Danio rerio: one gene and its partners. The protein of the gene in region 3 purifies or fractionates together with the protein of the main gene of each other region. This does not show direct contact. Links are inferred from orthologs where the notes say so. Each region holds a gene or a part of one and is shown on either strand. Other genes may lie near its edges. The genes, in order: psmg1, psma4, pomp and psmg2.

What was found.
Region 1: the proteins of pomp (region 3) and psmg1 purify together in Homo sapiens (affinity purification with mass spectrometry; 4 studies listed by BioGRID and IntAct, with this or other methods). This does not show direct contact. The link is inferred for Danio rerio from reciprocal best matches to the Homo sapiens genes POMP and PSMG1.
Region 2: the proteins of pomp (region 3) and psma4 fractionate together in Homo sapiens (co-fractionation; 4 studies listed by BioGRID and IntAct, with this or other methods). This does not show direct contact. The link is inferred for Danio rerio from reciprocal best matches to the Homo sapiens genes POMP and PSMA4.
Region 4: the proteins of pomp (region 3) and psmg2 purify together in Homo sapiens (co-immunoprecipitation; 6 studies listed by BioGRID and IntAct, counting the BioPlex papers as one, with this or other methods). This does not show direct contact. The link is inferred for Danio rerio from reciprocal best matches to the Homo sapiens genes POMP and PSMG2.

What each region holds. Positions count from the first base shown.
Region 1 is NC_133185.1:517,372-521,682, reverse strand, and holds the start of psmg1 (proteasome assembly chaperone 1), read left to right. Parts: upstream 1-1,505; 5' UTR 1,506-1,584; coding exon 1,585-1,709; intron 1,710-2,509; coding exon 2,510-2,598; intron 2,599-3,422; coding exon 3,423-3,580; intron 3,581-3,810; coding exon 3,811-3,873; intron 3,874-4,085; coding exon 4,086-4,284; intron 4,285-4,311. UniProt on the Homo sapiens protein: Chaperone protein which promotes assembly of the 20S proteasome as part of a heterodimer with PSMG2.
Region 2 is NC_133200.1:6,943,330-6,947,687, forward strand, and holds the start of psma4 (proteasome subunit alpha type-4), read right to left. Parts: upstream 2,845-4,358; 5' UTR 2,781-2,844; intron 2,214-2,780; 5' UTR 2,192-2,213; coding exon 2,189-2,191; intron 2,104-2,188; coding exon 2,061-2,103; intron 1,972-2,060; coding exon 1,809-1,971; intron 1-1,808. UniProt on the Homo sapiens protein: Component of the 20S core proteasome complex involved in the proteolytic degradation of most intracellular proteins. This complex plays numerous essential roles within the cell by associating with different regulatory particles.
Region 3 is NC_133196.1:43,981,018-43,985,128, forward strand, and holds the start of pomp (proteasome maturation protein), read right to left. Parts: upstream 2,801-4,111; 5' UTR 2,774-2,800; coding exon 2,771-2,773; intron 978-2,770; coding exon 877-977; intron 793-876; coding exon 732-792; intron 1-731. UniProt on the Homo sapiens protein: Molecular chaperone essential for the assembly of standard proteasomes and immunoproteasomes. Degraded after completion of proteasome maturation. Mediates the association of 20S preproteasome with the endoplasmic reticulum.
Region 4 is NC_133194.1:13,460,117-13,463,682, reverse strand, and holds part of psmg2 (proteasome assembly chaperone 2), read right to left. Parts: intron 2,868-3,566; coding exon 2,694-2,867; intron 2,614-2,693; coding exon 2,493-2,613; intron 1-2,492. UniProt on the Homo sapiens protein: Chaperone protein which promotes assembly of the 20S proteasome as part of a heterodimer with PSMG1.

The DNA of each region.
Region 1 (4,311 bases), on a different chromosome or scaffold from region 3:
CACACAGGATGGAGATTTTATACAAATCTCTTAACTCTAATTCCTAATTTGTAATATATATATATATTTGGGTGTAGAAGTTATATTGTGGACGGGAAAAATACATTCTGTGATTGTCGGAATGATGTCTGACAGAGTGTTTCGGTTGTAGTCTGATACTCTTTGAATTATTACAGTCATTGTATCAGACAATTAGTGTGCCCATTTGAGCTCATCATATTGTATTCTTTTAATATTGTATTCTATTGTTGACCGAGAGATGAGGGGAGAGCGCGAACGCAGTCCCCCACTACCAGAAATTACGCAGTACAGATTCCTGCATTTGAGAAATTGTCAGAGGTCAAACTAGCCGATTTGTGCAATGGCTAATCCTCGCCCTGGGTGAACCACCTTTCTGATCATGGTATCGCCCCTGCCAGGTAAGTATGATTCCGTTATAGTACCGGAAGGGTCTTGACCGTCAGAAACATCCTTCTTGATGGCGGTGACTCTTCACTACGCCACACGTGAACCAATGCGATCAAACCGCACAATCCCGCTGTGTGTAGATGCAAAGATTACCCCTTCATCTATATATTTATTTATGTACTTATTTATGTATTTTTTAAAACAGAATAAGGACATTTTGCAGCGAACCACTTCCCATCATGCAACGGGACAGTCGAACAGCCAATGGAAAAGCACTACTTAAAACTAGCCTTTTTCAGAAATCAATAATCAGAATTTGTAAACTCAGGTTGAAGTAAAACTCTGGACAGTTTATCTTTTGTAGCTTCATATATTATAATCTAAAACAAACTAGCGAAAACATTCAATGAACACTATGACGTAGGCAACAAGAACGTGTCATGTACATCACTTCCGTGAAATCAAAACAAAGAGCGCCGACAGAGTTCAGATTTTAACTCCATGATCCTTAAATATATATTTTAACCATTAAAAAAGAACCATTTGTACGTTCAGTTGTATCCCCAATATGTTGTATGTATTTGTAATATAATCAGTATTTTATGATGGTATTTGTGGCCGTTCCGCACTTGTTTTCCTCAACAGAACGTGTGCAGTTACACATAATAAGATTTCGAAAAATCACGAAGCTTTGTGCACCATACAGCCATATAACACATACATGATCACATCAGTGCCTCTTTTAGTGGTTTCGACACAATAGAAGTTAATAAACATACAAATAAACACCTCAGCCTCTTTACATTCAGACACCTTCACTCCCGATCCAATACAGCCTGTTCAGGTGTATGAGACAGAGGAGCATGTGTTGAGGACGTCATGTAGTGCATTTATACAAGAGAGACAAGAAATGGTAACTCAACTGATAAGTTTAAGAAATGCAGAAATAAGTTTCAAAGGTCTATTAGAATGAGCAGAAGAACAGAAAGGAGGTGTTTGATGAATTTCCTGAGGGAAAACTGAAAGGAGTCCAGAAGGGGGCAGTAATGCAACAAACAGGATGCCAGCTGCCCTTAAAACCTAACGACGAAGAAGAAGAAGAAGCATCGCGTAGTGTTGCTCATTACACCCCGCCTGTGAGTTTTATTAATAAATTAGCTTGATTATCAGTGTAATATGGCGACATTCTTCGGCGAGGTGTTATCAGTGTATTCTCGAGCTGTGGAAGAGGATGAGTATGAAGACATGACGAATGAAAACGAGGAAGATGAGCAGATCCGCCGCGAAATAGAGGAGAAGAGGTGACATGCTCATCATATTTACTGATTATCTGATCAAACCTGTGACTGCAGTCAATATCAGCACTTTATAAGAGAAACGCAGGACGCTTTCACTTTCACTTCAGCAGCGCGGGTCTGTGACTCATCACGTGTCTCTCTTCATCATCATCTTCATCATCGCTGTGTTACAGTGATCCTCTATGGCGTTTAGCGATACTTAATGTCCTGTTTCTATCACAGCAACAGCACCACATCACACAGTTAGCCGTATTTACTGACCAAAACCACACTGTGGTAAATAAACACACTCTGCACTTCAACATGCTGGATTATTCTCATTTACTGACTCAACAACACTCAAGCTCAGCTCATTCAGACAGAGGTAAAGTTGGTTTGATATTGGGATATTCAGACATTCTGCTTAATCATTTATTTTCAGAAAAGTGTTCTTTGCTAAATCTAAATTGGGAGATCAGATTAGCAGTCAAAGACTAAAGTACAGCCATGTTTACAGTCAGTTATATAGTGTTGATGTTGTTTTGAACTCATACTTGTATGCTAATTCTGATTAAATATTCATATGAGTGTGGTAAACGATATAGAGACCGTTAAATTAATGAATGTGTGAATATAAAACCAACTTTACCTCAGTGTTACAGCTCTAGTGTTCAGTTTTGTTTATGTGTGTTTGTGTGTGTGTGTGTGTGTGTGTGTGTAGATTGAGTTAATATTCAGTGTTGTGTTGTATGTATTGTGTAGTGTGTGTGTGTAGGGTGTGTGTAGATATATTGTGTTACAGGTATTGTGTTGTGTTCCTCCAGGTCAGTGGAGGTGTGCTGGCTCTTGGGCTCTCAGGATGGGCCCCTGCAGTGTTCAGATCTGATCATTGGCGCGGGGCCGAACGCCAGCGGTGAGACCTCACTCCTGTACTCTAGACACCGCAGATGTGTGTGTGTGTGTGTGTGTGTGTGTGTGTGTGTGTGTGTGTGTGTGTGTGTGTGTGTCCTTGAAAATGTATTAATTTCAATGTTCTGTTTTCAGCGGTTAAAAAAGTGCTTGGAAATAGAATTGTGTAGTTGTGTAGTAATTACTCTCCTAGTAATTTATCTTTCTTATTAGTTACCTTTTGAAAATAAAGAAAATATTTTTGTTTTTGTATGAAGTTCAACATGTGATTTTATGTTTGGGGAGATTCACAGTGAGTCACTGAATGACTGAATGACTGTGTTAAATGAAAGATTCAGTGAAAGATGACATGGCGATTCCCACTGCAGGATTTGATCTTAATTTAATGTATGATAAATAAATATAATGTAGTACTGCGATATTCAACATTTGGAAAAATTAGATTAAGATAAAACATGACATGTAAGATGTGAATAGATGACATTTAGGAGAGTAAACGACAGTATATCAGTGCCGATAGACGACTGCAGGCAAACACACCATATACATGATTAAAATACTGCACTATACTATTGAACATTACATCAAACAACAGCAGAGCATGTGTTTGGACTGTGGGGGAAACCGTAGCACCCGGAGGAAACCCACGATAACACGGGGAGAACATGCAAACTCCACACAGAAACACACACTGACCCAGCCGAGACTCGAAGCAGTGACCTTCTTGCTGTGAGGCCACAGTGATAACCACTGAGCCACCGTGTCGCCATGAATAAAGATAATGTTTTGCTGTGTGTGTGCGCGTGTGTGTGTGTGTGGTCTGTGCAGGGTTTATTCGTGCGTATCTGCTGAGCACTGTAGGATGGACGGCCGTGGCGTGGCTCTCCTTCTGGAATGAGCGGAGCCGTGGGTCTGAGCGGCCGACTGTGGTCCCAGGGCCCGGAGAGCCCTCCTGTGTGCTGTACCGGCTGGAGAGCTGTCCCACTGTGAGGAGCGCACCATCACTATACACTACAGGAGAGCTATTCTGCCACTATATACAAGCTGTACACAGTGTGTGTGTGTGTGTGTGTGTGTGTGTGTGAGCTGGAAACAGCACACGGATGATGTTCTCCAGCTTTCTGAAACTGACCCTTTCAGGCTGTGATCCTCATTGTGGTGTTTTGATGACTGTCGCTTTAAATGTAATTGTGTGTGTGTGTGTGTGTGCGCGCAGGTGCTGATCTGCCAGTGCCAGGGTTTTGTGGCAGAGGATCAGCTCTTCCAGTTTACAGAGAAGGTGAGGCCTCATACAGAGCTGTGTGTGTGTGTGTGTGTGTGTGTGTGTGTGTGTGTGTGTGTGTCTGCGAGCCCTTCCTCATTGCTGTGTGTGTGTGTGTGTGTGTGTGTGTATGTGTGTGTGTCTGCGAGCCCTTCCCCATTGCTGTGTGTATGTGTGTGTGTATGTGTGTGTGTGTGTGTGTGTGTGTGTGTGTGTGTGTGTGTGTGCAGGTCTTCTCATGTGTTCAGACGAGGGATCTGAACGTCACCATTCTCTCAGACTGCTCCTCGGCTGATTATAAGACATCAGACTACCTGAGTGGGAGCAGCACACCATTCCTGCGCTGTCTGAAGACCAGCACATACACACACACCGTCACATGTCCACCGCTGGAGCAGCCCAACATCTGCAGCGGACTGGCAGCCGCAGGTACAACACCGCTATACTGCATTATTA
Region 2 (4,358 bases), on a different chromosome or scaffold from region 3:
CTCAGAAGGCGAGCTGGATATTTGTATTTGTTTATTTGCTGTAAACGCTTGTGTTGTTTTAAAGGTACAGTTTATATATCTGACTGTTTGTATTAAAGGACAAAATTGTATTACAAATGGTAAATATAAATATATTCATACATTTTAATACAAGAATTGCTGTGCTGTGAAGAAAATATAAAACTGTGTATGGAAAGCATTGTCAATGCACCGTGATATCGAATTTAACTGAATCGATGGCATGTTAATCGTAACTGAACCGTGAGACCAGTGTAGGTTCACACCTCTATCTTATAATCAGTTTTTTTATTGATTTCAAAAACCAGTTAACAATAAAGATTGCAGCAACTTTGAATTGAAACTTATAACATCAGAAAAAATACAGAAATGGTGGTACATTATGCACATTTTAAACAAAGAAAAAAAAAGTAAAAAAAATATAATAAAAATAAGACACAAACCAGCGGGAAATATATACGAGATTATACATTGAAAGCTATTTTTAACTTTTAATCGATTTTTTGTTATTCCTATTAAAGATAAAATATAGGACTTATACACAACTATAGCCATTATAACCTAAATTTTTTACATGCTTTTTTGTCGCCATCTTGTGCCTGGATAATGAGCACAGCCTGCATTCAGATGTTTTTATTTCTACATGCTTTACGTCTAACTAAAGACTTAGTAAATTATTACAACTCAGATCAGTGTTTTATGTCTAATTTAGTTCAGTTTTGTGGCAAGAAGTCATGAAACAAGTGGGATAATGCACATCTAGACAGGTCTTTACGCAGAATTAATCAATTCAGTCTTATGCAACAGCTGCTGAAAAACCTGTCAGGCTTTATTCTGCTAGAACAACGGGCTACATGTACATTATGCCTTACTTTATGACTAAAAACATTTAAAGTAAAGCTGAAATGACATAAATGTTTGATGAAAACTTTAAAGCAAACTAAAAATAAGCTTTTATAGCTAACTGAAAAAGCATTACATTTTACCAAAACCTAACAATGACCATACACAGAAATAGAAATAAATCAAAATTGAACGAAAAACAAGGTCAAATTAGAATTGATAACTATTTGAATTAAATCGAAAAGTACAAGTAGTAAAAATTTCTAATACTTAAACGCATAAATATAAGAAAAAACTACTGACTAACACAGATAAAATTTCAGCCTCAAAGGTTAAAAAAAAAGTTTAAAAAAGTAACAAACTGAAGCACATTTTAAATACTAGACCCAAAATAAAAAAATAAAAATGACAAGTGCATATTGCAAAATGACAAAAAAAGAAGCTAAAACTAATCAAAAACATATTAAAATAACTTAAAAACAAACTGAAATAAATTTCAAGCTTATATCCTAAAACTAGGCCAAAAAGATTTACAAAAAAATACCCAAACACACAAAAAAACCAAGCTTTTATTTTCCTAACCATGTCAGAATCTTTGTATTAGTAGCACTTCTTATGTGTATTGCCTCTTTATGATCATTTGCACAGTGCCTTCCACATTTGTAATCAAGTGGCTTTGGATTAAATAATAATAATAATAATAAATAGATCAGTCTACAAATAAATAAATAAATAAACAAATAAATCTACACCTTTAATTTCAAAGCTATTCCGCCAATACAAGAAATAATAATACATTTTATTAATTTATCTTCATTTACAAAACTATTACTGAGAAATTCAAATGCTAGGAGGTTATTTGTGTTCATTTAACAATGTAAAAGATACTCAAGTCAAACAAATGCTCAAAATCTCATATGAAAAAAAAAAAAAAACCCAAGACTCACTCGTTGAGTTTGTAAATCTTCTCGGAGAAGAAAACCTCGTCCAGCAGTTTGTGGATGTTCCTTCGCTCCGCAGCCAGCAGCACACCGTCATTGGCCAAGATGCCCAGACAGGTGCCAGCGTGCCCGATGGCCTCCATGGCATATTCTACCTGATACAGACGCCCTGCAAAACATAATTAAAACAATAATAATCAACATTCAGAACAATAAAACGCACAATAATTTAACCAAACAGCCTATAAAGACCCTCACCCTCTGGGGAAAAGATGGTCGTTCTTGAATCATATCTCCGAGACTGTAAAAATAAAGCAAAAATTATGATTATGAATGTTGTTAATCAATAAAACGCATTAAAAATTAAGAAATAAATTGTTACTTACCATAGTGCCCTAAATAAAATAAATCCTGCAAACAGATTACAAAATTAATTAATTAATCAGTAATGTATTTGTGTTGCTGTCAATACATATATGAATACATAAAACATAGTGCAAAACAAGAAAAATATGCTCAACATTAATAGTTAAAACACATTATAATTAATAAATATATCAGTTTATTTCAGTTAAAAATATTTGTTGTGCTGCTGTCACTATCTAAGGCGCTTAAACACTCATTGAGCAACAAAATGAAACAGAAAGTAGCTGAAAATAGCAAAATTCCACACAAACACAAATGAAGCATAACGAATACATTAAATTACCAATAAAAACTACTTTAATATTAAATGTGCTGGAATATAAAGGTGAACTGTAGCGCTTCTATCAGTTTCTCCTGTATGAATGTGTTTAGCTTTAGCATTAGCAGCTGCATAACAGCATGAAGCAGCAACTTTTCATATCATTTAAAATTAGCCTTCGTTTAATTCACCTTACGCCGGCTCAGCGTCTCTTACACGCATCAAATGTTTGGGATTATCATAAACATGATGTGAAGAATGTAAAAAATTGTAGAATATTACAATTTTCATACCTAAAGCCTGGGATAGCAATGCCTGTTCACTGTTGCGGCTCCGACTCCGCTGAAGAAATTCACTGCGGCGAGAAGCGCGTCCACTCTGGGTTCACTTCCAGGATGAGTCACGTGTCTTACGTTCAGCCATCTGATTGGCTCAGTTTTTTGAGGGTAAGCGGATGCGCTAGCAGATTGGCTTGACTATCATTTATTTAATTTATATTTCAAATTTCTTTTATTTGGTTTTCTACATAGAATATCAGTTGCAACATTAATTTTATTTTTTCAAAACATATTTTAACATTAAAGGTCCCATGAAGTGTTTTTTTGTAATTCAATGTTTGATATTGAAATATTTTAATTTCATGGGACTACGACTTCTAAAACTACCTAAAAATGCCTTTTATTTATATCAATTTGTTGTTAAACGTTATAGCGTTTTTATTGAAACGGCAATATTCTAATAAGTGTAAAAATGTTTGAAAATGAAGGTTAAAAATTGTGTACTTCAATGGTCTCAAACTCAATTCCTGGAGGGCTGCAGCTCTGCATAGTTTAGCTTCCACCATCTCCATCTCACACCTGCTTAATAGTGTAGTAGCCTTAAACACCTTGATTAGTTTAATTAGAGTTGGAACAAAACTGTACAGAGCGGCGGCCCTCCAGGAATCAGGTGTAAGACCCATGATGTACGTTTTCGAAAATCACGCTCTGATAAGAGGAAGTTAATTTCTGTGATGTGTTATTCTCTTTTTCCACCTGGGGATCCTCATCCAGAGGGCTCTAGAGATTGTGCAGCACCATTGATATGATCCAAGAACTGTAAAGAGATGATGCCAAGGTATCCATAATCCTGGACCAGGCCGTATCCTGAGCTGATGCTGTGGTGGCCATTGAGGAATAGAGAGCATGAGACTGATTCCTGAAAGAAATGGTTTTGCCCAACTGAGCCTGATTTTTCTCGATTTTTTTTTCCTTCACTTTCGTTGATTGGTGAAGTTTGCTCCTCGCCACTGGCTTGCTTGGTTTAGGACTTGTGGAGCTGCGCATCGTTGGATTTGCTCTTCAGTGTTTGGACTTTCAGCAGTGAAAATGAAACCACACTGAACTAGGTGACACAGTGACAGCAGGTAGTGCTGTCGCCTCACAGCAAGAAGGTCACTGATCCGAACTTGGCATTTCTGTGTGGAGTTTGCACGTTCCCTTAGCGTTCGCGTGGGTTTCCTCCAGGTGCTCTAGTTTCCCCACAGTCCAAATACATGAATCAGGTAATCTAATTAGGTGAATTAGGTAAGCTATAATTGTCCATAGTGTATGTGTGTTTCCCAGTGATGGGTTGCAGCTGGAAGGGCATCCGCTGCGTAAACATGTGCTGGATCAGTTGATGATTCATTCCGCTGTGGCAACCTCAGATTAATAAAGGGATTATGTCAAAAAATAAATAAATGAACTGAACTAAACTGATCTTCAACTGGACCGACACAGTTTCAATTTACCAGAACTTCTATGTTAAGCTGCTTTGACAATCTACATTGTAAAAGTGCTACAGAAATTATGATGAATTGAATTGATATATGAATATCTACTTGTAGACAT
Region 3 (4,111 bases):
ATGAATATTAAAAGTCATAAACATTATTAAAAGTACAAGCTGAGTAACTGATATTGCTGGTTTAACTAAGTTGTAACATTCATGTTTAAAATGTTTGCTTGTTTTTTTCTTCTCCATGATCTGAAGTAAACTATCTGCTGACTTTTTCAGTATAGCCATAGTAGTTTATGCTAGAGATGGGAAAAACAAAGCTTTTTGGATTTATGGTTGGGGTAGGTGTAATCAATATTACATTAATCAACATTACAAGTGATTCTCATTTCTAGCGAGTCGCGACAACCGCTCGTGAATGCATGTCGATTTAATGCATTTATCTATTAATTTGACCATAAAATGGTGTTTAAAAAATTAAAAACTGCTTTTATTCGAGTCAAAATAAAACAAATAAGACTTTCTCCAGAAGAAAAAACATTATCAGACATACTGTGAACATTTCCCTGCTCTGTTCATCATTTAGGAAGTATTTAAAAAAGGGAAAAAAAATCAAGTGGAGGCTAATAATTCTGACTTCAACAGTATATATAATGTATTTTTGCATATTGTTAAAAATATACCTGTACAACATAAATATTCTGTGCTCCAGGGTAACAAATTTTAAGTTTTAATTAAAAAATATACATTTTTATGTCATATGACCCACATGTATGCCCATTTAAAACCATTTATATGTACAAAAATGAGCTTGTTCTATGTAATTGCACACAGACAGACAAATTCTTCATTCCACTTACATTTTTCTCAGAGAGCTCCAATGGATGACTCGGTAGAAGCTCATTTTTGACACTAGAGAACCTATGAGCAAAGAAAAATGTCAAAAGAAAAATTGTAAAAGAGGCAGAAACAAACACAGCACAGGTTTCTGTAGGCAAAACTCACCCTCTGCGCAGAGAGTCTTGGACCCCATAAGGACCAGCCTGAGGACACAGACCTGTGACAGGAACACTGTCCTTCAGCTGAGAGCGCAGGCCACGAGTGTTCTGAGGAAAACACACACAGCAAGATAATTAAACACCGCTGATGTGAAAACAGACCCGAATGGGTTTTTGACAGTTACAACTCTACATGTTCATGTCTCTAAAAGATTATGTCTTTATTAACACACACATTATGCAAAAGATAATGAAAATAATTACATAACATACAACATTAAAAGCTTCTGTGAACAAGATGTGTTGCACATAAACACTGAGTTATATAAAACTAATTGTTTACAATTTTGCCTATTATTTTTTTATTCCATAGAAAACCATACTAATTAGATGTATTATTAATTGTCCTTCTAGGAGATAAAATCTTTATTTTTGTAGGAAAACTTACAAATTATAAATATGAGAATTTACAAGTATAAGAAAAGGAATAAGATTCATCATTTGAACATGACTGTCTTTATAGTATTGTGACACCAAAAATGCATATTTTCATAACACGACAAAACGATCATCAATAGCATTTACCATTTAAAAAAAAAAAAAAAACTCACAGACATCAACAAAACTATACGAATATGCAGAACAAAATCGAATGAAACACCAAAAGTGCACTTAAATCAATGTTAGACTTAAATGTTAGCAAATATTGTTTATATGGGGAAAAAACTGAAGTTAAGCCGGCTTTATATTTACACATTGCTTCATTTTAAAAACAGAGACAACCACACGACTTTGAATATTCAGTCTGAAACTGCATGGAAGTATGACTTCAAATAGAGGTAAAGTTGGTTTTATATTTGCACATTTGTTAATTTAGCAGTCTATATTGTTTACCATGTTACTTTGAATATTCGATAGGAATTAGTATGCAAGTATGACTACTAAACAACATTAACTCTATCTAATTCACTGTGAACAATGCTGTACTTTGATAATCATTTGCTGCTAATATAATTTCCCTATTAAGAAATGTTAAGCATTGCTTTTTTGAAATTATATTATTAAGGAGAAAGTCTGAATATCCGAATATAAAACCAACTTTACCTCTATTGACTTCAATACTGACTGTGAACAATAGTTCTTAGTCATTGGCAAAGAATATTTTCTGAAGTTGTATTATTAATAAGAAAAACAAACTACCTCAACAAAACATTTGTATAATAAAGGATTCTTCTCTTTAACGTATTTAAACAATGGTTAGATATATGCTAAATCTTAGGTAAAATGCAATACTGTCTGTAAAACTATTCCTGTCAGTGAAAAAATGACTACATAAAAATGTCTCGTTGATATCAGGTTATACTGGATTGCTCAAGTTCTGGAAAATGCAATTATTATCAATATATTAAGTTATAATATTTAATCAGGAAACAATTAATAATAGTTCTGGCCTGATCTGATGTCTTAATCTCCCAAAACCTTTTCCAAAAATCCCCCTAACTTACAGGTAACTTAAATACAAACTGAAAGTAAGTTAAGCGATGACTGGAGTTGAAGCAATGACGCATCACAATTCACTCAGATGCTAACAAAAAAGCCGACAAAATCAATACAAAGCAATAATATGTATCATAAATAAAATGCCAAAGCAAATAATAAGTGCTCATGACATTAATTGCAAACTGATAACTTAATCTGCTCTAGGAAATAAATAAACACGATCTGCCATGCTATGCTAGCAAGCTAACAACCGGCACAGCTGAAATAAGCGCTTTTCAATGCTATATGTACATAGTTTCATAGTATGCTGAAAACAACCTAAATAGCCATCTAAAAAAATGGCCCAATGTAAAAAAGGGAAATAAAATAAAATAAAAGTAAAAACTGAAGTTCAACATTACCATCTTTTATCTAGCTTGTCTTTCCGACTAGAGTTAATGTACTTCCGGTCAGTCCCCGGATATACTTTTGTTATCATGTGACGACGACGTATGAAATTATATTTGAGAGCGGTTTATACCATAAATAGATCTTTGTTAATATTGCCGATCATATATATAGGCCACTGACATAATCAATAAAGAAATACCAGAATGAACATTTCTTATTTGTCTACAATAACACTTCATGGAGCAGTGTGGTATGAGAAAGGGGGTATAGCTCAGTGGTAGAGCATTTGACTGCAGATCAAGAGGTCCCCGGTTCAAATCCGGGTGCCCCCTCAATACTCATTATTTTTCTGTCCTTTTAGTAATTATAATTTGCATGATAGATTTAGGCAAACTCAAATGAGACAGACAACTCTGCGAAGTAAGAGCGATGTCTTTCTCAAATATAATTGTAACAATATATAATAATCGCATCGACAAGTTCTTTATTATTATTTTTTGCAATCTATTTAAAGAGATAGTAACAGGAAACTGACTATTAAATCACACTTAAGTGGTTCCACAACTTGAATATGCATGAATATGCAGAGTTCAAGTTTAAGAAAATGTTTAAATATTTTGAGTTGTAACAAAAGCAAGAAGAACAAAGCTCTTGAAATATTTCATTTTGAGAAAAGTGAATACACAGCGGAATATAACAAGATTTTGAAGAAAAAAAGAAAAAGAAAACTTTCTCATATTCTAGCACTGAAAAATCATACTCAAGTAAAAGCACCATGGCTTACATAAAAATGTAGTGTGAGTAAAAGTATCTGTGGTAAATACTTTTCAAAGTATGAGTAAAAAATAGACCTTTTCAAAAGTACTCAAGAGTAGTCAGTAGTGAGTATTACACTGTTAAAAGCTGATGAATTTACATGGGCTGCGTCTGAAACCGCCTACTACTCAGTAGGTACTGCATTTGAATTTAAACGTACTACTCGGCCGTTAGAAAAGTACGTTCTATACAGTATGAATGTGAAAAGTTTGAATGGAATTCGGACGTACTACATCCGCCAATTTGTCATGGACACGTGACCTACCTGCGTCAGTTGTGTCGCCTCACTTCCATTCATGAATTCTCTCACGGGGCATTATGGGATAGCGCAGCGTGCATTGGGATGCGCACTTCAGAGTCTCGCCGGAAGTAGTAAGTCATCCGGGTACTTCTCGCATACTGATTTTCGAATTCTATGAAATCGGACATACTACACGGCTCGCATACTGATTTTAGCGTACTATATAGTATGGAAGTATGCGGTTTCGGACACAGCCATGTGCATGTGTGTGTAAACGTAACATTCTGTAGTGCAT
Region 4 (3,566 bases), on a different chromosome or scaffold from region 3:
TTTTTTGGGGTATTTTCCTTATTTTTGTTTTTCCTGTAAATGATTCAATAAATACCGTATCGTGCCATTCATACCGAGGTATTACCGTACCGTGAAATTCTGATACCGTTACATCCCTAAGTGAGACACTGATTTATTAAATAAAAAAGGAGGTCTGACCGTTACTGCCTGGTATTAAAATGTGCTTACACTGATTTGATTATAAGTGTTCAGTTGAGAAACATTACCATTTCCATCTGGCATTTTCACATTTAATTACTTATTATTTGGGGCTTCAATTAGCACTTTTAAAAGGTCAGAGGAGGACAAGCTCAAAATGATTTTTTTATTTTTATTATTGAATTGACAAAAACACAATGTAATATCAGATGCAACCAAGGCCTTTGCATATTCAGGGTTCTTAAACCTTTTTCAACTTCAAATTCCAGCACTTTTCAAGCACTTTCAATGTGCATTTGTATGCTTTTTCAGCACCTAATAACCACGGTTAGTTACTTTATATATGTTGTAGGTACTTTTTCACATTTAAATCCATTGTGCTATTTTAAAAAGCACAATATGATATTTCAACTTAAAAGGTTAAGAACTATAGAGCACAGACTTATTGGGATAGTTCACCCAAAAATGATTAAAAAATAAATAAAAAAGTTCAGTTATTGGATGAAGCATGTTTTTAAGTTTGGTCTCTTTCTACCTAAAGCTGATATCTCAAAAAATGAGCTTACAATCAGATTTTGTTTGGCTGTAGTACCAAACTTTAATGACCAGTCATTATTTCTTTTTACAGTCATTGGATAGGGGTTTCAGGTGCAAAGATGCATTCTGGGTGAACGTCTCCTAAATACACATGAAGCTAACAGTGCCACAACAATCTGAATTTGTATTGTGTTCATTTGAATTCTTAAAAACCTAAAACTGTATTTTTAAATACCCAATGTCTGCAGTCTTTGAATTCAGAGTAAATAAAAATGTAAAAATATGTCTATAAAAATCAGACTTAAAAATTAGTCTTAAGTTTCAGATGTTCAAAAATCAAGTTAAGAAATACAAATTCAAAACATTTCTAATAGGACATGGTTTTATATTTCAATAGAAACTTTTATCACTGACAAATTTGCACCAGCTTCCACAGAAGTGATAATGATTTGTTCTTTTAAACATACATGAAAAAAGTAGCTCTACAATATTTAAAGATTAGTTCATGCACAGCTGAAAACTGTTTTAATGACTTATCCATGTGAAGTTCCTGAAAGCTTTGTTCATCTTCAGAACACAAATTAAGATGTTTTAGATCAAAATCGAGAGCTCTCTCATCCTCCATAGACTCCAATGGTCCAAGACCAAAAACTCAGTAACTTTGTCAAAACATTCAGTATGATATGAAGCTTCAAAAACACTTTTGTTCACACACTATATATATATATATATATATATATATATATATATATATATATATATATATATATATATATATATATATATATATATAAGGGGTGTAACGGTTCACAAAAATCACGGCTCGGTTCAATACAATACAGTGGTGTCACGGTTCGGTATGTTTTCGATACAGCAATAAAAGAAAAAAGCCAGAGGATTTCTCAGATTTTAATTCAACGGCCCTATTACTAGTTAACAATAATAACTGTGCTGTGTTCTCACGGGTGGTGTCTGATATTGCACAGATGATATTGACATATAAAATATATACTTATTAATTGCATACGTCATCATAATAGCAGTAATGGTCTTTTCATGAGCTGCAATATTAGTTTCATCTTCGAATGCAGGCTCTTTAGCGATAGTGAACGCAGTCTCAGTTGCACGATTGACAGCAACGTGATGATTAAATGATGGACTAAATAACGTTAGAGCATCTCATGCTTAAAATGTGTAGATTCAGTGGCAAACATTGTAACCTGTAAACTCTGTCCCATTGGCTTAACGGTGTATGCTTTAGATATTTTCATAGCGGACTTTAACCACTTGAAGTCTTTTATCCACTCTTGGAAATGTGTAAATGCTGGATTAACATTTATTACATGATCACTAATCAGATGTGTCATTATTTGTAACTTTAGGTGGTTTCTAAAACTAAATCTGTCAATGTTGTTTTCATTCTCTCGTATCCAGACCTTTACGTTTTTGCGGCTGTAGCGCCCTGTCATTGGAACTGAGTGATTGACAGCTGATATTAACCAATCTATTCATGTTCTGTTCTATCGCAGTGGGCCAATAAGAAGAGCTTGAAGGCGGGGCAATCATTGTGGGGTTTGTTTACTGCAAGTTGACATGTCAACTGTTTTAAACCATTCCTGAGCGCTGCGTTTGGCGTTTTTAGGTGCAAAGATGCTTAATGAGTGAATGCCGCCTAGTTCCACGCACTGGTCGCGCGACATTAATTTTATGCACCACCAAATGTATTTTGATGTTGCATTGATAACATTTCAGGCGCATGTCCTATTATTAGGATTTAAATATAAAACTAAACTTACAGGTTTTTCCAGCAGATGGAGCCAGTCATTGAGACAATTGATGAGAGCAAACGCGTCAGGGATGTTGTCTCCTTCTGAGCAGAAGATAAGCACTACTGCCATAGGGACGTCCTCTGTGCAACTACAAGACAAAAAAAACACTTCTTTGACTGATTTTACTATTATTAATTAGACATTTTACAGAAATATGAGGTATTTTACCAGTCAGTGTAAAGGCATTTTGTTACTCCTCCTCCAGGAATATAGAGACGTTGCTCAGAGTCAGAGATACCAGGGAAAACACTGATTTTCTCCATCTCCCTCCAGCCCAGCTCCTCGAACCTCTGCCGTTCCTCTTTCTCCAGAGACGGGCTCAACATGTATCGCAGAGGAGTGCTGCTCAAAAACAGGTTTATGTCAGCTGCTATTGAAGTGGTAGTTCACCAAAAAATGTAAATTCTGCAAGTGCTTTTTTTGTTCCCTCTAACCAGTTCGAGTTTCTTTCTTCTGTCGAACACACAGAAAGATATACTGAAGAATGCTGGTAAAAAAAAAAAAACAGCCATTGACTTTCATAGTATTGTTTGTTCCTACTATGGATGTCAATAGCCGTTTTTTTCAGCGTTCTTCAGATTATCTGCCTTTGTGTTCAACAGAAGAAAGAACTTCATAAACTGGGTTTCTGCAGCTTTCACCAAGTCAAATTTAAGACTTTAAGACCTTTTTAAGACCATGAAGAATAAAATTTCAGACGTATATAGTCTTAAACACTAAGGATTTTTTAATAGCCCAGCAGAAAAAAACATGTACATGCCCTATCAAAAACAAAAAACTAATTGTAATTAGTTATTTGTTAGCTACATATTAAAAAAAAAAAAAAAACTTAAAATAAATGTATGCACAACAGACATAGTTATGAATTAACTATTACAATTAGTTATGAATATAGTTTTGCTAAAAGTTTTATTGAGATGAATTGTTGATGATTGGGTAGCTTTGTGATTGTGTTGGATCGATTGGGTAGCTTTAAATAAACAATGAAGGATTAAGATCCGTTTCAAATTATTTAAGACCTACAAGACAATATTTCAGTGA